Macaca fascicularis: one gene and its partner. The protein of the gene in region 1 purifies or fractionates together with the protein of each later gene. This does not show direct contact. Links are inferred from orthologs where the notes say so. Each region holds a gene or a part of one and is shown on either strand. Other genes may lie near its edges.

The links.
Region 2: the proteins of ANKRD49 (region 1) and FKBPL purify together in Homo sapiens (affinity purification with mass spectrometry; 4 studies listed by BioGRID and IntAct, counting the BioPlex papers as one, with this or other methods). This does not show direct contact. The link is inferred for Macaca fascicularis from reciprocal best matches to the Homo sapiens genes ANKRD49 and FKBPL.

The regions. Positions count from the first base shown.
Region 1 is NC_088388.1:93,486,066-93,501,237, forward strand, and holds the end of ANKRD49 (ankyrin repeat domain-containing protein 49), read left to right. Parts: intron 1-1,099; 5' UTR 1,100-1,187; coding exon 1,188-1,445; intron 1,446-2,557; coding exon 2,558-3,019; 3' UTR 3,020-4,080; downstream 4,081-15,172. UniProt on the Homo sapiens protein: Induces HBG1 expression. May have a role in spermatogenesis where it promotes autophagy in response to serum starvation, via the NF-kappaB pathway.
Region 2 is NC_088378.1:139,577,290-139,593,029, forward strand, and holds FKBPL (FK506-binding protein-like), read left to right. Parts: upstream 1-7,579; 5' UTR 7,580-7,598; intron 7,599-8,209; exon of another isoform or gene 8,210-8,428; intron 8,429-8,668; 5' UTR 8,669-8,742; coding exon 8,743-9,792; 3' UTR 9,793-9,812; downstream 9,813-15,740. Other genes in the region: ATF6B (cyclic AMP-dependent transcription factor ATF-6 beta), read left to right, coding at 10,289-10,403, 10,770-10,849, 11,001-11,079, 11,324-11,415, 12,256-12,391. UniProt on the Homo sapiens protein: May be involved in response to X-ray. Regulates p21 protein stability by binding to Hsp90 and p21.

The DNA of each region.
Region 1 (15,172 bases):
CTACACTAGAGTAAGCTTCCTGAGGATCTTGCTCATTATTGAATCCCAGTACCCAGAAATTGACACATACCAGACATTCTATTCATATTAGTTGAATGAAGGAATGAATGACAGCCAAAATTCAGTTGAAAACAAGGACCCAACTAAGAACTATAGTTGCCTATCAATATATAGGACTACTTTTTAAAGCAGTGAATTTTCCTAGGCCTGAAATTATCAAAGTAGACATAGGATAATTAGTGTAGATGTTGTGATAAAGATATCTGCTCCAATGAGAGATTGGGACAGATGTCCTTTTGGGGGCTAACATCTTCAAGAATCCCTGATTCTTCCAAGTAGTTTTTTTAGGAATTAGAAGTTTTTATTTCTGCTCTATATTATCTGTGTGTCTAGTTTATAAAAATCTTGAATGCACCTTCTTCACTGTATTAGTTATACTTCAAAACCTTCAAGCATTCATCACTCTTAGCATAATACCATCATACCTAAACCAGTAGATTAAAAATAATAGTTATGGCCGGGCGCGGTGGCTCAAGCCTGTAATCCCAGCACTTTGGGAGGCCGAGACGGGCGGATCACGAGGTCAGGAGATCAAGACCATCCTGGCTAACACGGTGAAACCCTGTCTCTACTAAAAAATACAAAAAACTAGCCGGGCGAGGTGGCGGGCGCCTGTAGTCCGGGCTACTCGGGAGGCTGAGGCAGGAGAATGGCGTGAACCCGGGGGGCGGAGCTTGCAGTGAGCTGAGATCCGGCCACTGCAGTCCAGCCTGGGCAACAGAGTGAGACTCCGTCTCAAAAAAATATATATATAATATAATAATAATAATAGTTATATAATAATATAGTTGACTTAGAAGAAAACAACGAAAGTAAGAAGCGTTAGACCACTAAAGATCATCTGTGATCTAATAGTGGTCTAACGCTTCTTTCTTTCGTTGTTTTCTGTCAGCACCAGTATTTAGTGTATGTAAGGAATACCGTAAGAAAAACAAGAGTTTACACAGGGTTTAATTGTATATGTTTGCGAGACTTATCTATGCAGTTGATAAAGCCTGAATTATTGTTTTACTAATAACTTTTGTATTTGTGTTTTCAGGTCTTGATGAATAAAGCAGTCATAATTTATCTCTAGGAAGATTATACCCTGGCATTTGAAATGCTTTTTATTTAGAATAGTAGTAAAAATGGAAAAAGAAAAAGGAAATGATGATGGAATACCAGACCAAGAGAATTCCTTGGATTTTTCTGAACACTTTAACCAACTTGAATTGTTGGAAACACATGGACACCTTATTCCTACTGGTACTCAAAGTCTTTGGGTAGGCAATTCTGATGAAGATGAGGAGCAAGATGACAAAAATGAAGAGTGGTATCGATTGCAAGAAAAAAAAATGGAAAAAGACCCAAGCAAATTGCTTCTTTGGGCTGCTGAAAAAAATCGGGTAAAAAAAAAAGATTACAGAAGGAAGTGTGACAGTAGGAATAGCACTGGGTTCAAGCCAGAAGGCCTGCCTTTACTGTTATGGCCGTCATACCTATCTCTTGATTGTGAGGACCAAATGAGACAATGTACATGAAAGCACATATTAAGCTGCAAAGTGTCATGCTAGGTATTATTTGGGGGTTTAAGGATAATTATCTAGAAAGATAGCAAGCAATCATCTATATTTTAAAATCATTTATATAAAGTCATTAGGATCATTTAGGAAAGAGGATGGAAACTAACATTTATTAAATACTAACTATACCAGGTACCTTATTACATTATTTAATCCTCATGTATCTCTATAAGTAATACTCTTCTCTTTTATAGAGTAAGAAATTGAGATTCAGGAATATTAATTTGCCCAGGATCATCCAAGTGGAATGAACATCAAAAGCCTATTCCCTCTGCTTGGCCACTTCCACCTAATTTTACTAAGTTTCCCCATGTCTGTTTTAGTAAACTAATAACTAAAAGGGTCTTGCATTTTAAATAGCTTTTTAACCCAAGAGCATGCCACATTTAACCAGAGGCCCATAGAACAAACTAAAAATTACAACCTTAAAGGATGTTTCTAAGGTTGTATTGAGAAGGAATTGAGCTCTTAAATCCCTAGAATTCCCTATTAATACTTTATTCTTTTGTTAAAAGTTTTATTTTTAAAAGTTTCATACAGTGTATATATTGGTGTGATAATCCAATAGAAAAATCAAGCAGTTATGTTTTCTTCACAGATAACATATAAAATATTAAATACAATTAAAACCTATGATATTCATTGGACTGAAGCTTTTATGCAATGAACCTTAGCTGGACCAGGAGTAAGGGTATGGTTTGATATTCAGAGAATCTCATTCTTAGAAGCAACAAAGTATAGTTAACACTAACTTGTTCATTCTCACACCAGTAGTCCTCTCCTCCCAAAAAAGAGATCTTAAATTATTTTCATTTTAAAGTCATCTGCTAACAAGTTTTTATTCAACCTAATTAAATCTAACACCACAAGAAAATTTTGTTTTGGTTATTGTTTTGGTTTGAGTTGAGTTGAAAGATTTCCATTTTTCTTCTCAGCTGACTACAGTGCGGAGACTACTTTCTGAAAAGGCCACTCATGTGAACACTAGGGATGAAGATGAGTATACCCCTCTTCATCGCGCAGCCTACAGTGGACACTTAGATATTGTCCGGGAGCTCATTGCACAGGGGGCAGACGTTCATGCAGTGACTGTGGATGGCTGGACGCCCCTGCACAGTGCTTGTAAGTGGAATAATACCAGAGTGGCTTCTTTCTTACTGCAGCATGATGCAGATATCAATGCCCAAACAAAAGGCCTCTTGACCCCCTTGCATCTTGCTGCTGGAAACAGAGACAGCAAGGATACCCTAGAACTCCTCTTGATGAACCGTTACGTCAAACCAGGGCTGAAAAACAACCTGGAAGAAACTGCATGTGATATTGCCAGGAGGACAAGTATCTATCACTACCTCTTTGAAATTGTGGAAGGCTGTACAAATTCTTCACCTCAGTCTTAACAATTCTAGTAATTTTCTTAAGTTTCTAAGTACCAGTGCCTCCTTTGTGTGAGATATAAAGTATTCCCATAATCAAAGTTGACGTCAAACATCTTACTACAAAAATTCAGTGATATTCATTATAACATTCTTCCAAGTGAATTGCCTGACTTTGATGTCAGAATGTATTTAAAAGTAATTTGCATATATATTTAATGATTTCTGTGGAGTTCGTGATTTTTTATCAGAACTAATTTTAATGTGTGTATACTTAAAAACTTGACACGGGTTGTACAGAAACTGATATTTTTGGTGCTGATCCAAGAGAGATGTATTTTTAAATATCCCACATCCTGGATCTTTGTTGAGTACTTAGTATATTGACATATATTTTTATAAGGTGAGGTAACTCAGAACTTAATTTAGAAGTCTTAAATATTCTGATACAATTTAGCTGTCTTCTCTACCTTACCATAGCCAGTTGCTTTCACTTTAAACTAGAGCAAGTAACGTATTAGTGGCTTGCATCTTCATAAGTTAAAGAAAAAAACAGCAAAAAAGCTAGATCTTTGTCTTTTAGAACACAGACCATTTTCAGGAAAGCAGTTAGCGAGGTGTTTAATTCATGAATATTGTATACTGCCTCCCCTACCACAATTTACACAATCCTGTGGATAGTCCTACCTCACCCTGGTCAACCTACATGATCCTTATGCTAATGGCAAATCACAATGACCTTGTAGACATGCACACAACTATACCTTTGTCCAACAGATCATAATATATCTGCTATCCAACTGGTTTTACATGCCTAATCCTACTGATTGGGGCGCTGCTCATATAGTCTCTCAAGTTCACAGGAAATGTTGATTTTCTAAGGTCCTCATTTTTACAAACTATACAAAGCCTAAGTGACAAGGGAAAAGGAATTAGTCTAAGAGTAAGGGGATGATGATTATATTGAGGCTAAAACCACAAAGTGGCTCAGGCTTAAAAAAAAAAAAAAACACTGTGGATAATGACAAAAAGCATAAGTAAAAATATTTGAGAAAAATAAAGTAGAAGTTTTCAACAACACAAAAGGCATGAATTCATTTTTTACCTGTGTATGTCTTTCTTGGATCCAGAACATTATTCATCCAGCGTGCACTTAGTTATTTAATATCTACTCTCTCAGTTTCTCCAGCAGCAATTTTGCATTGTGTACCTAGCCCCTCTGTGATTGTTCCCAGAGTTTTGTCTTCTCAACATGAGAACACTCTAGGGGAAGAGAACTAAACCAATTGCTCTTTACTTCAGTTAAATTTTTTAAATGTCCACCAAGGCTTATCTCTTTCAAGCCATCCTATGTAACCCAGTCACCCTAGACTAAGTAATAATGTTATTTAATGAAATATTAAATATTTATTTTTGGTTAGAACTTATTAGATGATCTCAGAAAAGTCAGAGATAATACATGAACTGAATCATCGTGGCAACAGGCTCTTGAGAGTTAGTGCTTTAGTTTATGTTGTGAGCTCTGCCTAGGGAGATGCTTTGTGGCAGAAAGAGGTTGCTTTCTGTTTGATCTGGCCTAAGTTAGTGACACCAAATGACAGGTACAGCTGACAGGCAGTGATGATAGAATAAGACCTTATTTATCCAAGCAGACTGCTGAATGAGGCTGCTTAGCCTGAAAGTCACAGAACTGATGGCTCCTTTCTCATTTGAGAATGGATTGCACCCATGATTTTCCATGTAAACTTTCCATTTAAGTATGAAGCCAAAGAAGTCTTGTTTCCAATAAGGACCTAAGATGTGTCTACTCCCTTGTTTTCAGACCTCAACACTCACTGATGCTAGAGAGCAAATTCTACATATAAGACAAATCCCACCCCTGAGGGCAGAATTTGTATTGTCTGCTTCATTTATACTTTCCAGAACATTTACTAGACTGCTCTGTCCACAGAAGGCAGTTACTAATTGTGCTTTGAAAGGATTACTTCTACTTTCCAGTGTAGGCAGGCTAAATAGCTCAGTTTGCAAACAGAATTTTCTCTAATCTTGAAAAGCCTGTATGAAGACTTATTAAAAAATGAAATCTGAGTTTTTCATAACTAAGGGCTTAATTTTGATTAACCTATGCTTGAGGAAGAGATAATTTTTGTGAATGTTCAAGGTTCATATCATAATTCTTAGGCCTAAAGTGGAACTAGTTGGCTTTGCTTTTATGAATCTTAAATACGCTTTTCCAGGGAGCCTTCCAACCCACAGCCTACCACAGTGGTGGGATTTAAAGTCTTTATACTATAATATGAAGACATTTATTTTTATTATTTGACATCTATTATGTTATCTAACACTATGCTGGAAAATCATGATCAAAAGAAGCCCAGAGACTATTCTGAGATTTATGTCCTATACCAAAATGAAATCTCTGGATCAACTTTTGATTCCTGATCAACACATATACCATCTTGACCCTACCTACACTGGCTCTAGGAATTTATGCAACTACCTACGAAATAAGATCACCAAATCCTTGATTATGTCTTTCCTGTAATTTGTTTATCATAAGATGCTCCAGTCCATCTGTAGGGTTGCTAGATGACCACTCAATTTGTTCAATATGAAATGCTTTCTCTAAAGGATATTTAAGGTCTATGCTTATTAAGTTCAGAAGAGAGTAAACCAAGAAGGATTAAGTGTAGCTGATTGATGTTTTAAATTCCTGGAAATTTCCCTTTGAAACTCCAAAATTTTACTTCTCAGAACCTAAATGGAAATGATCTAAATCAGTGCCAACACATAGAAACATGTGGGCCACATATGTAATTTTATGTTTTTAGCATGACTATTTTAGATACCTCATATAAGAGGACTCATGCAATAAGGAGAGAATTGCATTTTATGGCACACAAACATAGATAAGCAAAAATCTTAGAAGTGGAAAATCATAAGAGCAATATTAAAACAAAAACAGGTAAAATTAATTATATGTATATATATTAGGATAATACATCCAAAATATGAAAGAAATATTTTAAAATTATTCAGATTTTTTTTTTATAGTAAATCTTCAAAATGCAGGGTGTATTTTAAAGCACATCTGAATTTAGACTAGTCACATTTCAAGTTCTCAGCCATGTTTGTCTAATGGCTAGTCCATTGAAAGCACAGATCTACATGCCTGAGTCATTCCCTGGAGGCAAAGAAGGATGGTTACACAGAGCATTACACTTTGAGTGAGACAAACTGAGTTCAAATCCTCAGTGCCACCTGTGGGTGACTTTGGGCAAAAAAAAAAAAAAACCTCAATTTTCTCATATGTAAATCAGGGATAATGTCTATCTTGTTGTAGGCTAGTTTGTTATTTAAATGTAAAAATCATATGGTGTAATTTATTTTGTCAATTTCTTTAATACTTTAAAAATAAATTTCAATATGAAATACATTGAAATCATATTGTTTAAAAAAAAAAAGCTACATGTGTTTATCAATGTCCTCCAGTCATCTTTTATGTAATGCATGAATGAAATCATCTGATCTTTATGAACGTTCTTATTGGTACACCAAACCTCTGTGACAATAGCTAACAACTGAGTGCTCACTGTAGGCCAACTATGCTGTATGTGCGTCGCTTGTGTGATACCATGTGAGCCTCACAACAACTCTCTGAGATACATATCATTGTACAAAAAGGAAATCAGGCTTATAGAACTTACACGGATTGCCCATTGTCATGCTATGTGCGCATGATGGAGGTTTGTCTATCTGGTTCTACCACCTTTCCTCTTCACCACATACTAGTATTTGACATGTATTTGTGAAGTTGATTAAAGAATGCATCATTTGGTGCATGTGTAGTGTATTTTCTTACGTTCCCAGAAAGCTCATGTTCAAATATCACAACTTTTTACCTGTGGTGTTTTTGAATATTATCTATATACCACCAGTTAGTCTGTCAATCATAATAACCAAAATTCCATTTTCTTAAATATTATTTTTATGTAGTTTATTTACAGTAGGGTTTGAGGACATAAAAATTACTATCAGGAGCAAAAGCAACTGCGTTTGCTTTTAAAGGTGCAGTTTATATTTTTTGAATTTAGTTACTTATATCTACTTTTAAATATGCTTGCCATTTATCCACATATAAAGTATATGTTGTACATAGGCTATAACTAAATTTATTTAATTTTTTTTTATTTTTGTTTTTTTTCTTTTTGAGATAGACTCACTATTGCCCAGGCTAGAGTGCACTGGCACGATCTCGGCTCACTGCAACCTCTGCCTTCTAGGTTCCAGTGATTCTCATGCCTCAGCTTCCCAAGTAGCTGGGATTACAGGCGTGTGCTACCATGCCCAGCTAATTTTTTGTGTTTTTAGTAGAGACCGGGTTTCACTATGTTGGCCAGGCTGGTCTTGAACTCCCGGCCTCAAGTAATCTGCTGGCCTCGACCTCCCAAAGTGCTGGGAATACAGGTGTGAGCCAGCATGCTTGGCCACTAAATCTATTAATTTTATTCCCCTTCCATGTAGGATTCCATACATGTGTGCAAATTTCTTGTTTTGTTATTGTGTGAACACTTAACATGAGATCTGCCCTCTTAAAATTTTAGTGCATAGTATTTTTTTATCTATAAGCACAATGCTTATAGATCTCTAGAATTACAGAGATTCTAGATTGTACAGCAGATCTCTAGAAATTACTCATCTCGTATAACTAAAACTTTATACTCATTGAATAGCTACTCCCCATTTTCCCTTGCCCCAGATCCTGGCAGCCACCATTCTACTTTCTGTTTCTAGGAGCATGACTATTTTAGACACCTCATATAAGAGGACTCATGCAACAAGGAGAGAATTGCATTTTATGGCACACAAACATAGATAAGCAAAAATCCTAGTAGTTGAAAATCCTAAGAGCCAAAGCAATATTTAAAAAGAAAACAGGCTCACACCTGTAATCCCAACACTTTGGGAGGCCGAGGTGGGCAGATCACGAGATCAGGAGATCAAGAGCATCCTGGCCAACACGGTGAAACCCCATCTCTACTGAAAATACAAAAAAAAAAAAAAAATTAACCGGGCATGGTGGCACACCCCTGTAGTCCCAGCTACTCGGGAGGCTGAGGCAGGATAATTGCTTTTCCTTGAATCCAGGAGGCGGAGGCTGCAGTGAACCAAGATCACGCCGCTGCACTCCAGCCTGGGCAACAGAGTGAGACTCCGTGTCAAAAAGAAAAAGAAAACGTTAAAGTCAGGATTTTTACAACCTGATTTTAAGACTAGCTATGAAACAACAGTATTGAGACAGTGTAGTATTGGTGGATGGACATGTGGATCCATAGAACAGAATACAGTCTAGAAATAAATTCAGATATAGATGATCAATTAATTTTTGACAAAGGTGTCAAGGAATGCAGTGGGACGTTCTCTTAAACAAATGGTGCTGGAACAACTGAATATATTCTTGGAAAAAACATGAACTCATTTATAGGCAGAAAGCAGTTCAGTGGTTTCTTGGTCACAGGGACAGAGGTTGGACTACAAAAGGGCAGAGAGAACCTTTTGGAGGTGATGGAAATACACCATAGCTTGATTGTGGTAATGATTTTGCAGGTGTACACAACTGTCAAAGTCACTGGGTTTTAAAGAGTAATGTAGGGTTTTTGTACATAAATTATATTTTTATGAAGTTGATTTTTAAAAATAGATATCCAGAAATAACTCATTTTATTCTTTTATTATTTTCCATGGCAAGCATAAGATGAACTCATCCTCAAATTCTAGGGATATATCTTCAGGGGGGGCCTGTTATTTAAAAAAATACATTTCACCAATTCACTGGAATTTTAAAATTCCAAGTAACACATCCTTTATAATCAGAAGGTGCAATCTCTCCATTAAATGACAGAATGGGAAACAAAATAATTGCTTTAAAATAATTAGTCCATTTGGCAGGATTCAAGAAATTTGAAAAGATAGCTAGTTACTATATAAGAAGGATTTGGTTGGCTTTTAATTTAAATCAGGACTGTTAGAACCTAAAAGAGGGTACCAAAGTGGTTTTAGCATCTACTTTTCCAAAGAAAAACGATAGCATTCAATGTCCCATTGTTTATTACTATATAAGAAGGATTTGGCTGGCTTTTCATTTAAATCAGGACTGTTAGAACCTAGAAGAGGCTACCAAAGTGGTTTTAGCATCTACTTTTCCGAAGAGAAACGGTAGCATTCAACATTCCATTGTTTATTTGGTTGTGCTGTAAGACAAACTGAGATGATTTCTTGAGACCTGTTTTAGATCTATAGAATTAAGCACAAGTAACATGAAGTAACCTATTTACTCTGGTAATATACTAAAACTTTTTATTTCTTTAAGACTTCATTTTTTTACATGAATGTGTAACTTTTTATTAGAAAACTTTAGTCTTGGGTTTTGTCTCCATCTAGTGGTCATGTTGGTCTTTTCCATTTACAGTCAGGCTTGGGTCAATGATGCATCGCCTACACTGACAGTGATCTCATGAAATTATAATGGAGCTAAATATATCCTATCACCTAGTGATGTTGTAGTTGTCATTATGTCATAGCACAACACATTACTCACATGTTTGAGGTGATGCTAAATGTAAACATACCTACTGCACTGCCAGTCATATTTACATACAACTATGTACAGAACATAACACTGGATAATGATAATAAACAACTATGTTACCGGTTTATGAATTTACTATAATATACTTCCGGTCATTATTTTATGGTATTCTTCCACTTATTAAAAAAAGTGAACCGTAAAACAGTTTCAGGCAGGTCCTTCAGGGGGTATTCCAGAAGAAGGCATTATTACCATAGGAGATGACATAGGAGTAACTCCGTGAGTGTTATTGCCCCTGAACACCTCCCAGAGGACAAGATGTGGAGGGAGAGGACAGTGATCATGATGACCCTCTGTTGGCCTAGACTAAGTATGTGTTTGTGCCTTTGTTTTTAACAAAAAAGTTTAAAAAGTAAAAAAATATATAAATAATGCATATTGAAAATACAAAAAAGCTCATAGAATGAGGCTATAAAGAAAAAAATAGTTTTGCATAGCTATACAAGGTGTTTGCATTTTAAGCTAAGTGTTATTACAAGAGTTAAAATGTTTTTAAAAATTAAAAGTTTATAAAGTCAAAAAAGTACAGTAAGCTAAGGGTAATTTATTATTGAAGAAAGAAAAATATGTTTGCATAAATTTAGTGCAGCCTAAGTCAGTAGTGTTGATAAAGTCTATAGTAGTGTTCAGTAATATCTTAGGCCATCACATTTGCCCACCACTCACTCACTAACCCACTCAAAGAAACACCAAGTTCTTCAAGCTCCATTTATGAAGTACACACTCTACAGGTGTACCTTTTAAAGTCAACTATACCATATTTTTACTGTACCTTCTCTATGTTTAGATTTCTTAAGATACACAAATACTTTCCTTGTGTTACAACTGCCTACATATGCAGTATAGTAACATGTTCTACAGGTTTGTAGCCTAGGAGCAATAAGCTATACCAAGTAGCCTAGGTGTGTAGTAGGCTACGCCACCTAGGTTTGTGTAAGTGCATTCTGATATTTGAACAAGGATGAAATTGCCTAGTAACACATTTCTCAGATACCCCCATCATTAAGTGACGTATGTGTAATTGAAATTTTTAAAGGATAAGCCAACTATCCTGGGGTTTTTTCATTCTGTTTTTGTTGTTCATTTTTAGTTTTTTTGGTAAGGATTGAAAAACTATGGAGTACTATGCTTATTACCTGGGTGATGACATAATTTGTACACCAAACTCCTGCAACATGTAATTTTCCCATACAGCAAATGTACCCCTGAACCTAAAAAAAAGTTAAAAAGAGAAAAATGGAAACCACAGTTCATACCTAAAACAGTACCTTTCATACTTATTTGCATCAGTAACTTCTTTCAAGAGAATATGCATTGGTATATAATTGAAGACACACATATAACGATTGGAAATTAAAAAAATCAAAAGCCATTTAGAAGGAGAAAGAAGGAAATAAACCACCTAAATCAATATTGTTACTAAAATTGATAGATTATCTTTAAGGTTTTTGGTAATGAAGAAAAAAGAGGAAGACAGTAATTGCTTTTTTTTGTTTGTTTTTGAGAGAGGGTCTTGCTCTATCACCAAGGCTAGAGTACAGTGGTGCGATCATGACTCACTGCAGCCTTGAACTCCTGGACTCAACTGATCCTCCAGCCTCTGCCTTCTGCGTAGCTAAGACTACAGTGCAAGCCACCACGCCCAGCTAATTTTTTTATTTTTCTTTTATAGAGACAGAGTCTTGCTATGTTGACCAGGCTGGTTTTAAACTCCTGGCCTCAAGCAATCCTCCTGCCTTGGCCTCCAAAGGTGCTGGGATTATAGGTGTGAGCCATGGTGCCCAGCCCTTCTTTATGTTTGTTTTGTGCATATTTTTTAATTTGATCAAATAAACCACATTTTTATGAGTAAAAATATTTTTAGACATTTTTTCTAAATAAAATATTCTTAATTTTTGTATAATTTTATAGAACTATAGCATACACAAAGTAAAATTCAGAAATCTTCGTGAATTCTTCAAAGTGAATAGGGTTATGTAACTATCACCCAGCTCAAGATCTAGAACATAATCAGCACCTCCAACAGCTACTTTGTGCTTCTGCTCAGTGTTCCCTCAAAGGTAACTACAATCTAACTTTTATTTCCATCATTTAGTTTTGCCTACATAAATATAGTAACTTATGTATATTTTTGCGTTTGGTTTATTTCACTCAACATTACATCTATGAGATTTGTCCATTTCTGCATGTAGTAGGGTTTTGTTCTTTTTATTGATGTATTCTGTTATACAAATATGTAATAATTTATATATACATGATATTGTTAACTTTTGGTGGGATTTTGCATTGTTTACAGTTTGGGGATTTTATGAATAGTGCTGCCATAAACATTCTAGTACATGGTTTTGGTGTACGTACTATACCTTTCAGTGCATATCTAGTAAAGCCTGCTGAGCCACAGGATGTACTTATATTCCACTTTAGTAAAAACTGCCAAAACACTTCTCCAAAGTAGTTGTACCAATTTACACTCTTAGCAGGAAATGAGAGTTCCGATTGCTCCAACATGCCCATGGCTCTTGTTACTGCCAGGTTTGTTGATTTTCATTTCTTTTTTTTAAATAGCCATTCTAGTGGGCCTGTAGTATTAGCTCATTGTAGTTTAATTTGCATTATCCTGGTGACCAATGATGTGAAGCAATGTTTTTATGTGTGCTGACTGACCACTTGGATCTCCTCTTTCATGAAGTGCTTCATCTTTCTCCATTTTCTTTCTGGGATGTGTCATTTCTTATTTTTACAAGTTCTTTATATATTCTCAATACTAGTTATTTTTGGGATATATGCTCTCTCAGTCTGTGGCTTGCCTTTTCACACTCTTACTGGTGATTTTAATGAAGAGAATATCTTAATTTTATTTATTTATTTACTTTATAGAGACAGGGTCTTGTGCTGTTGCCCAGGCTAGAGTGCACTGGTGTGATCATAGCTCAGTGCAGCCTCAAATTCTGGGGCTCAAGCAATGCTGCCTCAGCCTCCCAAGTTGCTAGGACTACAGGTGCATGCCACCATGTGCAGCTAATTCATGTATTTGTTTTTGTAGAGACAGAATCTTGCTATATTGCCCCAGGCTGTTCTCAGACTCCTAGGCTCAAGCCATCCTCCTGCCTCGGCCTCCTAAAGTGCTGGTATTACAGGCATGAGCTACAGCATCTGGCCTGAGAATATCTTAATTTTAATGACCCTAATTTATCTATTGCCTTCTTTTGATTGGTGCTTTTGGTTTCCTGGTTGAAAAATATTTGTCTACCCCAAGATCATGAAGGGTTTTTTCATTGTTATACTCTAGAACCTTTTGTGTTTTACCTTTAGTGCTATTTTGAGTTGATATTTGCATTTGACACATGGTAGGAGTAAAAGTTCATTTTCCCATATTAATATCCAATTTATCAATGCCACTTATTAAAAGGAATAGCCCCTCACACACACACAAATACACACACACTACATTGCAGTGAAAGTTTTGTCATTTATCTGGTGATCATATTTAGTTGGGTCTGTTTCTAGACTCTATTTTGTTTCATTGAGCTATCTTTGCCCCAATACCCCAGTTTTAATATTTTGGCTTTATCGTAAGTCTTATTATGTGGTAGTGTAGATATTCCAACTTCACTCTTATTTTTCAAGGTTGTTTTGACCATTCTTGCCCACTACATTTACCTTTTTTTTTTTTTTTTTTTGAGACGGAGTCTTGCTCTTTCACCCGGGCTGGAGTGCAGCGGCACTATCTCGGCTCACTGCAAGTTCTTCCTCCTGGGTTCAAGCCATTCTCCCGCCTCAGCCTCCCCAGTAGCTGGGATTACAGGCACACACCACCACACCCAGTTAATTTTTGTATTTTTAGTAGAGACGGGGTTTCACCACGTTGGCCAGGCTGGTCTCAAACTCTTGACCTCGTGATCCATCTGCTTCAGCCTACCAAAGTGCTACATTTACTTTCTAATTTTAGAATCTCCTTGTCAACATCTATTTTAAACAACCCTGCTGAGATTCATATTGGGATTACATGAAATTTCTAGATCTAGTTGAGGCAAATTAACATCATTGTAATATTCGGTGTTACAGTTCTTGAATATACTGTAATATATTTCCGCATTTATTTAGGTATTACTTTTTGTTGATAATGTTTTAGAGTATTCTGTTGGAATTCTTTCTCTCTTTTTAAAGATTTATTCTTAATGTAATTTTTGGCTCTCAATGCTGTTATACATGTTACTGTCTTTTACATTCCATTTTTAATTTTTTTTACTATATAAAAGTAACATTTATTTTTCTCTATTGACCATGTGTCCACTGGCCTTGATAAATTTATTAATTCCAATAGCTTACCTGTACATTCATTTTCTTTTCTTTTCTTTTTTCTTTTGGAGACGGAATCTCTCTCTGTTGCCAGGCTAGAGTGCGGTGGCGCGATCTCAGCTCGCTGCAACCTCCATCTCCCAGGTTCAAGCGATTCTCCTGCCTCAGCCTCCCGAGTAGCTGGGACTACAGGCATGCGCCACCACACCCAGCTAATTTTTGTATTTTTAGTAGAAACGGGGTTTCACCATGTTGGCCAGATGGTCTTGATTCCTGGACCTCGTGATCCACCCGCCTTGGCTTCCCAAAGTGCTGAGATTACAGGCATGAGGCACCGTGCCTGGCCTGAATTTTCTATGTATACAGCCATGTTGACAGCTAATAACAGTTTCATTTCTTCCTTTTTAATTTTTTTAATGTGGTAAGTTATACAGTATTGATTTTAAACAACCTTGCATTCCTGCAATGACCAAAACTTGATTGTGATGTATTATCCATTATTTAACATGTTACATTTGGGTTACATTTGCTAATATTTTATTTAATATCTGAATTGATCTTCTTGAGAGACACTGACCTATCATTTTCATTTTTAGTAATGTTCTTTCAGATTTTGGTATAAAGATGAGTTGGGAAGTGTTAACTTTTTTTTTAATTCCTGCAAGAGGTTAGATAGAATTGGTGTTATTTCATTCTTAAATGTTTGGAAGAATGTACCAGTGAGGCTTTTTCTTTGTGGAATGTGTTTTAATTTTAAATTCCATATTTTTAGTGGTTATATTTTTATAACTACTTCTATTAAAGATATATTTTTTCTTGTGTCTCTTTTGGAAACCTTTTAAGTAATTTATTTTATTTAAATTGTCAAATTTACTAGCATCAAATTATTCAAAATATCTTCCTATCTTTTTAATGCCTGTGAGATCTTTAGGTATAGATTTACCATTTCTGATATTGGTGAAACTAATCTTAAGTTTAGTCTGTGAAAACTAACAAATGATAGTTGACAGAATGAACAGCATCTTTAAAAATAGTTTTGCTTAAAATTCAGAAATATTTCTTATTTGACTTTTTCCCATTGGTTCTTGATAAAAATTAAGAATATAATGTTAAAATAGCATCATGAGTCAATCAAATGAAATCTAGGTGTTTTTGCTTTCAAATTATATAAACCCATATTAGGTAAGGATATAATGAGTATAAGTCATTTAGAATAAATTTTTGGAAAT
Region 2 (15,740 bases), on another chromosome or scaffold:
TTCTCCCTCCCTTTTCCTCTATATAAATGTGCCATGGTGATGAAGGCTTGTTCGTTAGTCAATGGTGCTCGATTGCAGTGTTTCCGTCTCCGTGGAGGCGCTTTTCTTTGCATCTCCGATGGGTTCATTGTAGAACTTCAAATGTCTAGTGGGTATCCAAACAGGAAGCTGATTTTCTCCTGGTGAAACACAAGCAAAACCTCTTCCCCAGGTTATCACCTTCCCTATTTCCCATGTCTTATTTTTGTTGTCTTTCCACCAAATCAGTTTTCCTTCCTGTGGACTGTTCTTTTTACCAGTAAGATGTTGTTCTGCAGAAGTAGTAGTCTGATTTCTATAAATGTTTAAAAAATTTAAAGTATAGAGTGCTAGATTAAGCTGCATCTGAGGAGTGGTACACTCCTTACTGTCTCCCCCTTTTTTTTGTTTAACTAACTGAGTTTCGAGTGTTCTATTAGTTCTTTCAACTATGGCCTGTCCTTGGGAATTATAAGGAATTCCTGTTGTATGTGTAATATTCCACTGATTTAAGAATTTTTGGAAAGCTTTACTACAATAACCTGGTCCATTGTCAGTTTTAATTTTTTCTGGAACTCCCATTACAGCAAAACAAGATAATAAATGTTTTTTAACATGGGAAGTACTTTCTTGATTATCTGGTCCTAAACAATGTAAAATCATTGTACTTTCGTACACTTCTGAAGCTGTGCCTGCGCCGACAAGTCTTGTAACAGCCTTTTGTTTAGGCCAATTTTTTGGCCACTGATTTAAAGCAATGACAGAGACATCTGCTCCAGTGTCTACCAACCCTTCAAACTCTTTTCCTTGAATGATGGCCTTACACACAGGTCTGCTCTCAGAGACCAGATTTGCCCAATATGCAGCCTTTCCTGTTGGATCAGTGCTTCCGAACCCTCCTGTTCTTTTTATCTCACTGTTTCCAACTTTAATATAAGGTAGGAGTAATAATTGAGCAATCCTGTCTCCTGGACTGGCACTCCAAGGAATTGAGGAACTAATAACCAATTGAATTTCGCCTTTAAAGTCTGAATCAACCACACCAGTATGAATTTGAACTCCTTTTAGATTTAAACTTGATCTTCCTAAGATTAGTCCTACAGTCCCCTTAGGCAATGGGCCATATACCCCTGTGGGGATTTTTTGTGGAGGCTCCCCTGGAAGCAGAGAGACTGCTTGTATGGTGCATAAATCTACTGCTGCACTGCCGCTTGTGGCGGGGGATAATTGCTGTATTGTGATAACTGGCTTATTCCCTGAGACACTTGTGGCAGTGGGGGTTGTTGTTCCTGAAAACCCTGAGGAACAAAGGGCTGAATTTGGAATGCCCCAGTTTGTTGCGGGGCCTGAGGCTGGCCCCTCCTCTCGTTTCCCGACAGTGGTTGCCCATTTTTATCAAATTTAGAACGACATTGATTAGCCCAATGTTTTCCCTTTTTACATCTTGGACATAGGCCAGGTGGCTCTTTATCTGTTCTTGTAGTAGCTTGAGTAGTTACATTTTGTTTATTTGAGACTAGGCAATTCTTTTTTAGATGACCAATTTGACCACAATTATAACATCTTCCCCCAAATGTTCTAACCTGTCCTCCTAAAGCGACTCCTGTGATTGCTTGAGCCATAAGCATAGCTTTATGTATAGCTCCTCCAATTCCATCGCAGGCTTTAACGTACTCTGAGATTACATCTGATCCTGCGGGAACCCTTCCTTTTAATGGCTTAATGGCTGATTGACAATCAGGATTGGCGTTTTCATATGCCATCAACTCCACTATGACCTTACGGGCATTCTCATCGGTAATTGACTTTTGAGCAGCATCTTGAAGTCTTGCTACAAAATCAGGGTAGGGCTCTTTAGAGCCTTGTCTTATTGTATTAAAGGAGGGGCAGGCGGTTCCTGGGTCTTGGATTTTCTCCCAGGCCCTAAGGCAGATAGCCCTGATTTGCTCAATGGCCTCATTTGGCATTATTACTTGTTGGTCAACAGTGCTCCAATTTTGACCTATTCCTAATAGTTGATCTGCATCTATGTCAATTGGAGGATTGGCAGTCCTATTTTTTCGGACCTGTACTTGTGCCCCATCAATCCACCAAGTCTTAAATTGTAAAAATTGAGAGGGTGAGAGTGAGGATTTTGCCAGAATCTCCCAATCATAAGGAATGAGTCTATGTCCATGAGCAATGGAATCTAATAATGTTCTCATGTAAGGAGAGTTGGGTCCATACTGTTTTACTCCTTCTTTCATTTCTTTTAGCATTTTTATAGAAAAGGACTTATATCTGGCTTCAGCTACGGGAAGCTCTCCCTCTTGGGCCCCTTCTCCAGGTGGTCTTGCTTCTAATATTACTGGGAATTGCCACGCCTCAATATCTCCTTGTTTTCTTGCCTCATCAATAATTTTATGTAACGCACTACCCTGTGTACTAGGCAGTGCTGTAGGATTAAGTCTCATGGTGGGCGCTTGAGGATATGGTACCCTGCCCTGTGGCGCTAGAAATGTTCCTGGCTGTCCACACGGATTTTCTGGGGGCAACCGATACCACAGTTCGGCTGGCAGCCAGTATTGATAGGCTACTGGCGGCTGGGTCTTATCTTCTACCGGCTGATATTGTGGACACTGCATTTGGAATGGCATTGCCATGACAGAAACTCTATCTTTTTCTATTTGATCTTCTTTTGCAGTTTGTACTTGTTTAACCTGCATTTGAGGTTGTAAAGTTACAGGCATTTGAGCTGCTGGAAGAGCAGTTGGCCATCGTGGTTTAGACTCTGATGGCTCTGCTAATTCTGGATTTTTTTCTTCTAATTTTAACGTTTCAGGATATACTACCTCCTGTAATTGATTATCGTCAACATTTTGCGTTGACCGAGCCATAGCCGGCTCTGATACACATTCACAGTGTGAACTTTCCTTTCCTTTCCAGGATTCTATCCTTGCCTCTTTTTCACAATCTACTGCACAGCTTTTAGGGACATCAGAAATTGGAACGCTATCTTCTTCTGTTTGCAACGGTTCTAAAGCTACTTTAATAATGACCCAATCATTCCATACTGTGAGCGGAATGATTTTACCTTCCCTGCTTGCTTGTTTTAATTCTTTGCCAATTTTTTCCCAATCTTTTAGATCTAAAGTTCCCTGTTCCGGAAACCATGGACAAAACTGCTCTATTGTTTGAAACAGCGTAATTAGATTTTTGGTAGAGACTTTAACTCCCCCTCTTTTTAAGAGAATTTTAATAAAGCTGCGATAGGAGGCATATTTACTCTTAGTTTGCCCCATTGTTACCCTAGGTTCTTCCGAGCGCACAAGCTTACCGCAAGGCTGACTGTAGACGTACTCGGGAGTCTCTCGTCGACTTGTCCTCAATGACCACGCTCCAGCGTACCTTCACCTTAGAGAAAAGCTTCCACGTTGGGCACCAGATGAAGGGGTGGCCTGCCCCTCCACACCTGTGGGTGTTTCTCGTTAGGTGGAACGAGAGACTTGAGAAAAGAAATAAGACACAGAGACAAAGTATAGAGAAAGAAAAGCGGGGGCCCAGGGGACCGGCGCTCAGCTTACAGAGGACCCACGCCGGCACCGGCCTCTGAGTTCCCTTAGTATTTATAGATAATTATCTTTACCATCTTAAAGATAAGGGAGTGGCAGGACAATAGGATCATTTTTAGGGAGGAAATTAGCAGTAAGACATAAGAACAAGGATCTGTGACATGAATAAGTTTAAAGGAAAATCCTGTGCCTTGAGATAAACCTTTTAGCAACATTGTTTCATCCTATCACATGGGGATAAACCTTGGACAATACCTAGCTTTTCTAGGAACAAAGTCACACCCTGCACGCCCAAAATCCATTAAACCTTGAGTTACCACAGCACATGTCTCTTGCAAGGACAAGGTTGGGGGTAGGGTCACAGATTAACAGCATCTCAAATACAGAACAAAATGGAGTCTCTTACGTCTACTTCTTTCTATATAGACACAGTAACAGGCTGATCTCTTTCTTTTCCCCACACTCCAGCCTGGGTGACAGAGCAAGATGCCATCTCAAAACAACAACAAGAACAAAAACCAACCAAACAAACAAATTCCTTGAATGACTGAATGGATAAGCAGTTCATAGAGTTGTGTGAGAGGAAAATAAGCTAATATATACAAGACATTTAGAACAATGCTGGGTATTATGATCATAATGCATGGCCAGCGTTTGGTAAAGTGAAGCTGTTATCATTAAACACTTCACTGCCGAAAAGGCTGCCTCCCTCCTGCTTGAAAACCCTGCCTATAAGGGAAGCACAGTAAAATGCTTTGGGGCCAAAAAGGAGGGAGGAACGATTTTGACACAAATCCCAACAAAACTAGAAGCCACAGAAACCACCAAAGCTAAACAGAAGGGGAAATTTATTTAGCTTTTGGAAAGCTAGAATTTTTGTCTCTTGTGCAGATAATAAATGGAAGAGAGTAAGTACAGCATATGGTTCCATGTGGTGAGTATGGAATGCAGGGGAATGTGAGAGTGTAAAAACTTCCAACCAGCTCAATGCCTGGTGACAGGGCAGCACAAAGGAGTATTGGAGTAGCCTGGGAAAACTGAGACTCACAAACTGGAGAGGAATAATCCTGGGTGTTAAGTGGCTTTCCTTACTTCTCCCGCCTTGTGCTGCTTCCTCCACCTGCAATTAATCTCTTCCATTTATTTTTCTTTTTTCTTTTTATTTTTCTGGTTTGTTTGTTTGTTTGTTTTGAGGAGTCTCGCTCTGGCGCCAGGTTGGAGTGCAGTGGCACCATCTCAGCTCACGGTAACCTCCGCCTCCTGGGTTCAAGCGATTCTCCTGCCTCGGCCTCCCGAGTAGCTGGGACTACAGGTGCCCGCCACCATGCCCAGATAATTTTTGTATTTTTAGTAGAGATGGGGTTTCACCATGTTGGCCAGGCTGGTCTCAAACTCCTGACCTAAAGTGATCTGCCTGTCTTGGTGCCGTGGCTCACGCCTGTAATCTCAACACTTTGGGAAGCTGAGGTGGGCGGATCACTTCTGGTTGGGAGTTTGAGACCAGCCTGGTCGACACGGTAAAACCCCATCTTCACTAAAAATACAAAAATTAGCCAGGCATGGTGGCAGGTGCCTGTCATCCCAGCTACTTGGGAAGCTGAGGCAGGAGAATCGCTTGAACCCGGGAGGCAGAGGTTGTAGTGGGCTGAGATCTTGCCATTACACTCCAGCCTGGGCGACAGAGTGGTACTCCGTCTCAAAACAAAACAAAAACAAAAACAAAAACAAAAACAAAAAAACCAGGGAGGGAATTGTTTTGACACCAGTCTTTGGCTAATGATGAAACTGTCTCCCTTCCTGGCTGTCCTGGCATGGTCGTTATAGTCTGAGGCACAATGGTGAGAGCAAACTGAAGAGGGAGCCAAAGTGAGGTACTCAGAGTAGGATCCTTCTTTCCTGGAGAACTGTGGTAGCCCAGGCTGTGTAGGTAGCTGGACAAGCAAGACTGAATCACAATAGGTCTCTAGATCTTCTATTAGGAGGAGTAGCTGCTACACCCAGTGGAGCAGGTTACACCAGTTATATATGCAAAATGTAGGATAAACTAAAAGGGCACAGAGCCAGGGGAGAAACAATGGGATGAGACCATTCTAGAATCTCATCCCATTGGTTCATTGCTGGGTGTGGTAGCTCACACCTATAATCCCAGCACTTTGGGAGGCTGAGATGGGAGGATAGCCTGAGGCCAGGAGTTTGAGACCAGCCTGGTAAACATGGGGAGACCCCATCTCTCTAAAAATAAAAATTAAAAAAGTGTGGTTCATGAACCAGCAGCATCTGCATTAACCAACTTATTGAAATGCAGAATCACATGCCCCACGCCAGACTTCCTAAATCATAATCTGCAATTTAACAAGTTTCCTAGGTGATATGTATGCACACTTATGTTTGAAAAGCACTAAGATTTCTTGATGAAGGAGGGCTTGAAAGGCAATGATGGATGTGAAAGGAAAGGTGAAGAGAAGCCTCAGGCAGTCAAGGAACAAGGTCGGTTGGAGAGAGAGTCCCGAGGGTTTATCTTTGAATACCCTGTACTGAATGAGCTCCGAAACATAAAGATAGTTAACATAGGAGGGCCTGAAGTCTCCAGATAAAAGGCTGCTGCCACTATCACTTACCACCACCTCTGCCATTCTCCACTCTATCATCATCTGCCCCAGTCTCCATTCCAGGACTTCTCTACACTTTGACTTTTTTTTTTTTTTGAGACGGAGTCTCGCGCTGTTGCCCAGGCTGGAGTGCAGTGGCATGATCTTGGCTCACTGCAAGCTCCGCCTTCTGGGTTCCCGCCATTCTCCTGCCTCAGCCTCCCGAGTAGCTGGGACTATAGGCGCCTGCCACCACGCCCCGCTAATTTTTTGTATTTTTAATAGAGACGGGTTTTCACCGTGTTAGCCAGGATGGTGTCGATCTCCTGACCTCGTGATCCGCCCGCCTCGGCCTCCCAAAGTGCTGGGATTACAGGCGTGAGCCACCGCGCCTGGCCTTTTTTTTTTTTTTTTTTTTTTTTTTTTTTAATTTTTTTTTGAGACGGAATCTCACTCTGTCGCCCAGGCTGGAGTTGCCCTGGCGCGATCTGGGCTCACCGCAACCTCCGCTTCCTGGGTTCATGCGATTCTCCTGCCTCAGCCTCCGAGTAGCTGAGATTACAGATGTGCCTTATGCCAGGCAAATTTTTTTTTTTTTTTTGTAATTTTAGTAGAGGCTGGATTTCACCATGTTGTCCAGGCTGGTCTCCAACTCCTGACCTCAAGTGATCCGCTCCCCACCCCCCGCCGCCTGGGATTACCGCCGTGCGCCACAATGCCCGGCTCTTTTTTTTTTTTTTTTTTTTTTTGAGAGGGAGTCTTGCTCTGTCGCCAGGCTGGATTGCAGTGGCAGGATCTTGGCTCACTGCAACCTCCCACTCCCTGGTTCAAGCAATTCTCCCACCCCAGCATAGCTGAGGTTACAGGCACACTTCACTGTCAGGCCTCTGAGCCCAAGCTAAGCCATCATACCCCCTGTGACTACACGTATACCCAGATGGCCTGAAGTAACTGGAAAATCACAAAAGAAGTGAAAATGGCCTGTTTCTGCCTTAACCGATGACATTACCTTGTGAAATTCCTTCTCCTGGCTCAAAAGCTCCCCCACTGAGCACCTTGTGACCCCCACCCCTGCCCGCCAGAGAACAATCCCCTTTGACGGTAATTTTCCTTTACCTACTCAAATCCTATAAAATGGCCCCACCCCATCTCCCTTCGCTGACTCTCTTTTCGGACTCAGTCCGCCTGCACCCAGGTGATTAAAAAGCTTTATTGGTCCCACGAAGCCTGTTTGGTGGTCTCTTCACACGGACGCAAGTGAAAGCCACCACGCCCAGGTAATTTTTTGTGTTTTTAGTTGAGACAAGATTTCACCATGTTGGCCAGGATGGTCTCGATCTCCTGACCTAGTAATCCGCCCACCTCGGCCTCCCAGAGTCTCAGTCGCCCAGGCTGGAGTGCAATGGCGCGATCTCAGCTCACTGCAACCTCTGCCTCCCAGGTAAGCCATTCTCCTGCCTCAGTCACCCGGGTAGCTCGCATACAGGCGCCCGCCACCATGCCCGGCTAATTTTTGTATTTTTAGTAGAGACGGGGTTTCACCATTTTGTCCAGGCTGTTCTTGAACTCCTGACCTCAAGTGATCCGCCCGCCTCGGCCTCCCAAACTGCTGGGATTACAGGCGTGAGCCACCACGCCCGGCCCACTTTTTTTTTTTTTTTTTTTTTTTTTTTTTTTTGAGACGCAGTCTGGAGTCTCCCTCTGTCGCCCAGGCTGGAGTGCAACGGTGTGATCTCGGCTCACTGCAACTTCTGCCTCCCGAGTTCAAGCTATGCTCCTGTCTCAGCCTCCTGAGTAGTTGGGATTACAGGCGCGCGCCACCATGACCTACTAATTTTTGTATTTTTAGTAGAGACAGGGTCTCACCATGTTGGCTCACTTTGATTCTGGCCTGGCCAGCCCGACCTCGCCAAATTCTGTTCGATTCTGCCTAGTTCTGTTGCTCTGGCCTAGTTCAGTTGCTCAGTTGCTAAGGCCTAGAGCTTCATGGTTGCGGAGGAAATGATGTCACGTTCAATAGGCGGGCTAAACAGTTCCTCCCTCCTCCCGATTGGCTGCCAGGAATTTGACTAGATTCGGAGTCTCGCGAACTCCAGGGTTAGTCGTCAGTATCTTTCCCAGTTGTTCCGCCCCCCTCCCCTCTGCGGCTGCCCTCTCCGCGTGGGGCAAGGCTCCGAGGGCAGTATTCAGTAACCATTTAGCTTTGGAAGGAGAGGTGATTCCCGTGGCCCGGCTCCTCCTGCCACCATGCTAGCCACTTTGGCCGCGGAGGTACTTATTGACCCGACCGGGTGTCCGTAGTTGGCGCGGCTACCTTAACCGCAGGGAATTGTGGAATATATAGTTCTAAGTTATATATGGGTGGAACGGGGAAGCTCGAGCAGATTTTTGGAGGAAAGTAATATTGGGGACTTTGAGGACTGGGGGCCTGGGTCTCAGAAGAATAGGAAAGAACGAGAAAGGAGTCTAAATAAGAACCCTGCTATTAGCATTGTTTGGTTTTCTTTACAGGTGCTGACCTGAACCTGATTCATCCCTTTCTGACCAAAACTGTTCACTCATGGTGGAAGGGACCAAGCATTCAAATGGAGACGCCAGCAGTCAGTACAACTGGAGAAAAGGACACCTCTCAGCCGCAACAACAGTGGGAAAAGAACCTTCGGGAGAACTTTGATTCAATTACTCAGATTAGGCAGCAGCCCCGAGACCCTCCTACCGAAACACTTGAGCTGGGAGTAAGCCCAGATCCAGCCAGCCAAATTCTAGAGAATACTCAAGGAACTGAAAAACTGGTTGCTGAACTTGAAGGAGACTCTCATAAGTCTCATGGATCAACCAGTCAGATGTCAGAGGCCCTTCAAGCTTCTGATCTCTGGTACTGTCCCGACGGGAGCTTTGTCAAGAAGATCATAATCCGTGGCCATGGCTTGGACAAACCCAAACTAGGCTCCTGCTGCCGGGTACTGGCTTTGGGGTTTCCTTTCGGATCAGGGCCGCCAGAGGGCTGGACAGAGCTAACAATGGGCGTAGGGCCATGGAGAGAGGAAACTTGGGGGGAGCTCATAGAGAAATGCTTGGAGTCCATGTGTCAAGGTGAAGAAGCAGAGCTTCAGCTGCCTGGGCACTCTGGACCTCCTGTCAGGCTCACACTGGCGTCCTTCACTCAAGGCCGGGACTCCTGGGAGCTGGAGACTAGCGAGAAGGAAGCGCTGGCCAGGGAAGAACGTGCAAGGGGCACAGAACTATTTCGAGCTGGGAACGCTGAAGGAGCTGCCCGATGCTATGGACGGGCTCTTCGGCTGCTGCTGACTTTACCCCCACCTGGCCCTCCAGAACGAACTGTCCTTCATGCCAATCTGGCTGCCTGTCAGTTGTTGCTAGGGCAGCCTCAGTTGGCAGCCCAGAGCTGTGACCGGGTGTTGGAGCGAGAGCCTGGCCATTTAAAGGCCTTATACCGAAGGGGGGTTGCCCAGGCTGCCCTTGGGAACCTGGAAAAAGCAACTGCTGACCTCAAGAAGGTGCTGGCGATAGATCCCAAAAACCGGGCAGCCCAAGAGGAACTGGGGAAGGTGGTCATTCAGGGGAAGAAGCAGGATGCTGGGCTGGCTCAGGGTCTGCGCAAGATGTTTGGCTGATTAAAAGTTAAACCTTAAAAGAGACAGGAACTTGTGAATTGTCGTCTGTGCTGTGAGATTTGGGGTTAGGGGGCCAGAGGGAAGGTTTCAGCCCATATCCCATTCTCAGCTTTTGGCTTCCTAGAGGAGGTAGCAGTGGTCCCACTGCGCCCCTTTTGAGGGACTTAGCTATCTCCGAAGACACACAGAAGCTGTCTAAACTAAACTTAGTGGCTGGGGGAGATGGTGGACCTTAATACTGGGTACTACATCTCCCAGGCTCTTTATCACTGGAGCCTGTTTGGCGCATGCGCTTGGCGGTCTGGCACTGTCTGGAAGTTACTTCCTGCTGCAGTGCTCCCATTGGGCCCGCCTACACAGCCATCCGCGTCTGTTGATTCACGTGCTCAGCATCCAGGTCTCTTACTGGTCGGTAGGGCTTCCGGGACGCCCCCTTTTTTAAAAGAGTCAACTGATTAGTTGGTAATGGGGAGAGGCGGGCCTTGGGAACCGTCTCATGGTTGGGGGGTGGGGGGGAAAGATGGCGGAGCTGATGCTCCTCAGCGAGATTGCCGACCCGACGCGTTTCTTCGCCGACAACCTGCTGAGCCCGGAGGACTGGGGTCTGCAGAGTGAGGCCCCGGGGAGGGGAGGGGGCTATGGCAAACTGTGTCCCTGAGGCACGCGGGAAAGAAGCAGAGGCCTAAAGAGGAAGTCTGGGCAAATACGGAATCCGCCATCTGAAGGAGGGCGGAACAGGGGGATCGTTGTGCATTAAGGGGATACAAAAGTCGGGGAAGAACTGCTCCCTGCTGGAACGTCGAGTTGTTCCGGGGTCGGAGAAGGAGGGGCTGAAGTCCTCTGGTTGTATCACTTTTCAAGTGGGCGGGCGGTGGGTCTGGCCGAGCGGAGCCAATGAGGGATGGGGCGGGGGCTTGTGTGCGATCTGTAGGCTGGGCCCACTAAACGACCCCCCTGACACTCGGTATTCTTTGCAGACAGCACCTTGTATTCTGGCCTAGATGAAGTGGCCGAGGAGCAGACGCAGCTCTTCCGTTGCCCCGAGCAGGATGTCCCGGTATTGTGTCCCCCAGCCTTTCTCTAACCCTTAGTGGGTGGAAAGTGAGCCCAGAACCTGGACTCATTCACAGGCCAGAGCTCATCTGGAGTCACCCCTACTTTCTCACCCTTTCTCACACTCCTGTCCTCTTATATCCTCCGTTATTTAGTTTGACGGCAGCTCCCTGGACATGGGGATGGATGTCAGCCCCCCTGAGCCCCCATGGGAACTCCTGCCGATCTTGCCAGGTAAGGTAGACTTTGTGGTTCCCTCAGCTTTCCAGAAACCCTCATTTCCCACTGTTTCCCAGAAACTACGTAGCTTCCTATATTCTCACACCTCTAGGTAAGTGCCTATCCTCTCTCCTTCAATCCCCAATTTTTGTTTCTTCTCCCTCGCTGTGGTGCGGGAATCCCCACAGACATGTCCTTGGGTACTTTTTGGACTCTTCTCAAACTGCTTCCTGATAATTTCTAACTCCCTTTCCTCCAGATCTTCAGGTGAAGTCTGAGCCGTCTTCCCCCTGCTCTTCCTCCTCCCGCAGCTCCGAGTCATCACATCTCTCCACAGAGCCCTCCAGCGAGGTGAGAGCCATATCCCGCCTACTCTCTGTGGCAGGGACTCTATTTCATTCCCTTCACCCGTGGGTGACAAAGAAGTGATTTAAATGATTTGTGTACTGTGAGTCATGAGGTGTGTGAGGTGTGGGGGGCCTTCTCCACTAACTTTGCCATTTCCTTAATATCCTCATTTTCCACATCCCTTTTGGTTATCTAGCAGTGAAGATGTTTTTTGTTTTTTCTTTTTTTTTTTGAGATAGGGCCTCCCTCTGTCACCCAAACTACAGTGTAGTGACATGGTCACGGCTTACTGTAGCCTTGATCTCCTGAGCTCAGATGATCCTCCTGCCTCAGCCTTTTGAGTAGCTGGGACCATAGACACATGCCACCATGCCTGGCTAATTTTTTTTATTATTGTTTGTAAAAATGGGGTCTTCCTATGTTGCCCAGAGTGGTCTTAAACTCCTAGGCTCAAGTGATCCTCCCACCTTGGCATCCCAAAGTGCTTGGATTACAGGTATAAGCCACCACGCCTGATCTGGGGTCTTTTTAATATAAAGAGTTATGTGGGGCTGGGAAGAAGAGAGTTATTAACTGCTGAGAATTCTGGAACTGTTCTTGCCCAAGTTGTCCACTCTAAGGCCATATTTGAAATCATGAGACTTCATCAGTTCTCCCAGAAATAAAGTAGAAAGAATGAACAGGATAGAAAGATGCTCAGTACCATTCAGACCAGAATGTCAAATAATTGATGGCTTGTAAGCCCTAAACTTCTAAAGCTTTTTGTTCTTGCTCTTACTGTCAACATCTCCCGTGTTTTTTGCCCTTCTTTCTGCCTCCTGCCCCACACCAACTCTCACCCAGGCTCTTGGGGTAGGGGAGGTGCTCCATGTGAAGACAGAGTCCTTGGCACCCCCACTGTGTCTCCTGGGAGATGACCCAACATCCTCATTTGAAACTGTCCAGATCAACGTAGTCCCCACTTCTGATGATTGCTCAGGTAATAACAGCCTGGCCCAAATCCTCGGCTTTACTACAGGAGAATGTGTTTTGTGTGTGTGTGTGTGTGTGTGTGTGTGTGTGTGTGTGTGTGTGTAGATAGAGGGGAAGTGCAGGCAGCAGGACAGGGAGAAAAAGGTCGGGAGGGGAAATGGCAGAAAACCAGGAGGGAAGGCAGGAAGGAAAGGAAACATTTCAGGGAACCGCAGCAAGGGCAGTGCTGAGGAGATGGAGATCATTTTTCTCTCTTTTTTTTGTTCTAGTATTCTGTCATGCCATTCAACTTGCTTTTTAAAAAACGTGAGCAGTTTAGGGCATATCTATCTGTGTGATTCCCCTCCACCCAACATTTTATTATAAACATTTTTGTTGTTGTTGAGACAGGGTCTCACACTGTCGCCTAGGCTAAAGTACAGTGGCGTGATCTAGGCTCACTGCAACCTCCACCTCCCAGGTTCAAGTGATTCTCCTGTCTCAGCCTCCCAAGTACCTGGGATTATAGGCGCCCGCTAATTTTTTGTATTTTTAGTAGAGATGGGGTTTCACCATGTTGGCCAGGCTGGTCTTGAACTCCTGAACTCACGATTCGCCCACCTCAGCCTCCCAAAGTTCTGGCATTACAGGCATGAGCCATCGCGCCCAGCCCATAAACATTTTTAAACATACAGAAAGGCTAGAACACCATATACTAAACTAGATTCTACAATTAACATTATTTGTTCTGTTTTTAAAGTGTTCTCAAGTTTATTTACTCATAGCTGTTTCTTTAGTAAATGTTTATTGATGTGATCATATCTGAGGTATAATCATTTTAAAAAAGAAATATTTATTAAGTACCTACTCCATGCCAGATACTGAGCAGAGTCCTGGGCATGCAAAGACCTGACCACCATGCTGACTTTCTTTTTTTTTTTTTTTTTTTTTTTTTTTTTGAGACGGAGTCTCACGCTGTTGCCCAGGCTGGAGTGCAGTGGCGCGATCTCGGCTCACTGCAAGCTCCGCCTCCCGGGTTCCCGCCATTCTCCTGCCTCAGCCTCCTGAGTAGCTGGGACTACAGGCGCCCGCCACCGCGCCCGGCTAATTTTTTGTATTTTTAGTAGAGACGGGGTTTCACTGTGGTCTCGATCTCCTGACCTTGTGATCCGCCTGCCTCGGCCTCCCAAAGTGCTGGGATTACAGGCTTGAGCCACCGCGCCCGGCCCATGCTGACTTTCAAACCCTGTGATTTAGTAATGGGAGAAAGACAAGTACCAGTCAATACAGGTGTGGTCATTCTAGGATAGAAATCAGTAGAGGTGGGGCCGGCGCAGTAGCTCACGCCTGTGATCCCAGCACTTTGGGAGGCCGAGGCGGGCGGATCGTGAGGTCAGGAGATCGAGACCATCCTGGCTAACACGGTGAAACCCATGTAGAGACAGGGTTTCTCCATGTTAGACTGGTCTTGAATTCCCGACTTCAAGTGATCCGCCCACCTTGGCCTCCCAAAGTGCTGGGATTACAGGCATAAGCCACCATGCCCAGTAGACATGTCGATTGTTGATTTCAAAGTACCTTCTGGATCTCCTGGCACCATCTCTCACCGGCTGAACTCCAACCAGGGAGCCCACTTATGCAGTCCATTCAGGTTCTTCCTGGATCTCAGAGCACAGCAGGGAGAGATGGAGAGTGGATTTGGAAGGACAAGCAGATTATATCCAGCAGATTAATAAATGTCATAAAGAAGACACACAAAATAAGGATTGAAATACTGTGGCCGGGCGCGGTGGCTTATGCCTGTAATCCCAGCACTTTGGGAGGCCGAGGTGGGTGGATCACGAGATCAGGATATTGAGATCATCCTGGCTAACACAGTGAAGCCCCGTCTCTACTAAAAATATAAAAAATTAGCCGGGCGTGGTGGCGGGCACCTGTAGTCTCAGCTACTTGGGAGGGTGAGGCAGGAGAATGGCGTAAACCTGGGAGACAGAGCTTGCAGTGAGCCGAGATCACCCACTGCCGTTAGCAGCAAAAAGATTGTTGGTGGCTTTGCATCACATAGTGTTATTAGAGTCAGATTCTCCTCCATACTTAGGTATTTTTTGAGGGCCTGTACTTTACCCTCAATGGACATGAGATATAGTTCTTACTTTTGGGGAGTTTTATAAGGGTTATAATACATCATGGTTAAATAGTTACCCTTTTTTTTTTTTTCTTGAGACAGAGTCTTGCCCTGTCACCCAGGCCGGAGTGTAGTGGTATGATCTCCACTCACTGCAACCTCCGTTTTCTGGGTTTAAGTGATTTTCCTGCCTCAGCTCCCCTAGTAGCTAGGACTACAGGCACGCGCCACCAGGCCTGGCTATTTTTTTTTGTATTTTTGGTAGAGACGGTTTTGCCATGTTGTTCAGGCTGGTGTCAAATTCCTGGCTTCAAGCGACCCACTTGCGTTGGCTGTCAGCCTCCCAAAGTGCTGGGATTACAGGCGTGAGCCACCTTGCCCAACCATGGTTAGATAGTTCTGATAATGGTTACTTCTGTGCAGGGAATCTGAGTGGCTGGAGGACATGGAAGGGAAGATTTTTTTTTTCCGCTTAATTTTCCTTTATTCCTTTGGATTTGTATCATGACCATATTATCTATTCAAAAATGTACATTGAAGTTTTAAAAAGCAATCTTAGTGGTTATATAATTAAATACCAAAGTGAACAGTATGGACCAGAGGTAGTGGTGGACTGTTGACCTGTGGGCTGAATCTGGCCCTCAGAAGGATTTTATTTCACCAACATGGGGCCTAGCATTTTCTTTCATGGAGTGATCAACAAGTCGTAAAGGCAGATTTAATGGAGGCCATGAAGGCTCGGAGATGACTGAGGCTTTGCTGTTTGGTGCCTAGGAGGAAAACTTGTGTGACAGGGCAATCAGGAAGCCTCGTTTATGGCCGGTTAGATTTGGTTGACTGTTGAGGCATGAGAATGGAAGGGACCAGCAGGCAGCTTGGAAGTCAGAATCTGGTGCAGGTGAGTAGCCAGGGGGAGATGCAGACTTGGCAGTTGTCAGCATGGAGATGCATTGGGCCAGGATAAGGTGGAAATCCACCAAGATCAGAATTTGGGCCACGTAAATGCTGGAGACCCCCTGCACCTTCCCCTGCTCAGGCCTATTCTATGTGAATAGACAAGTTCTGTGAACAAGAAAAAGGGAAAAGCAGAAGGGCAAGAACAGCCTTGAGGAACACGGAGCCAGGTTGAGAAGAATTAGAGGAGCCCCCGAAGGAGAAAGGGAAGCACTAGGCGAAGTGGTGTGGAGAGCCAGCGGGTGAGCAGCTCTGTGACTTCCCCTCCTGGATTGCCTGCAGTCTAGGGCCAGAAGAG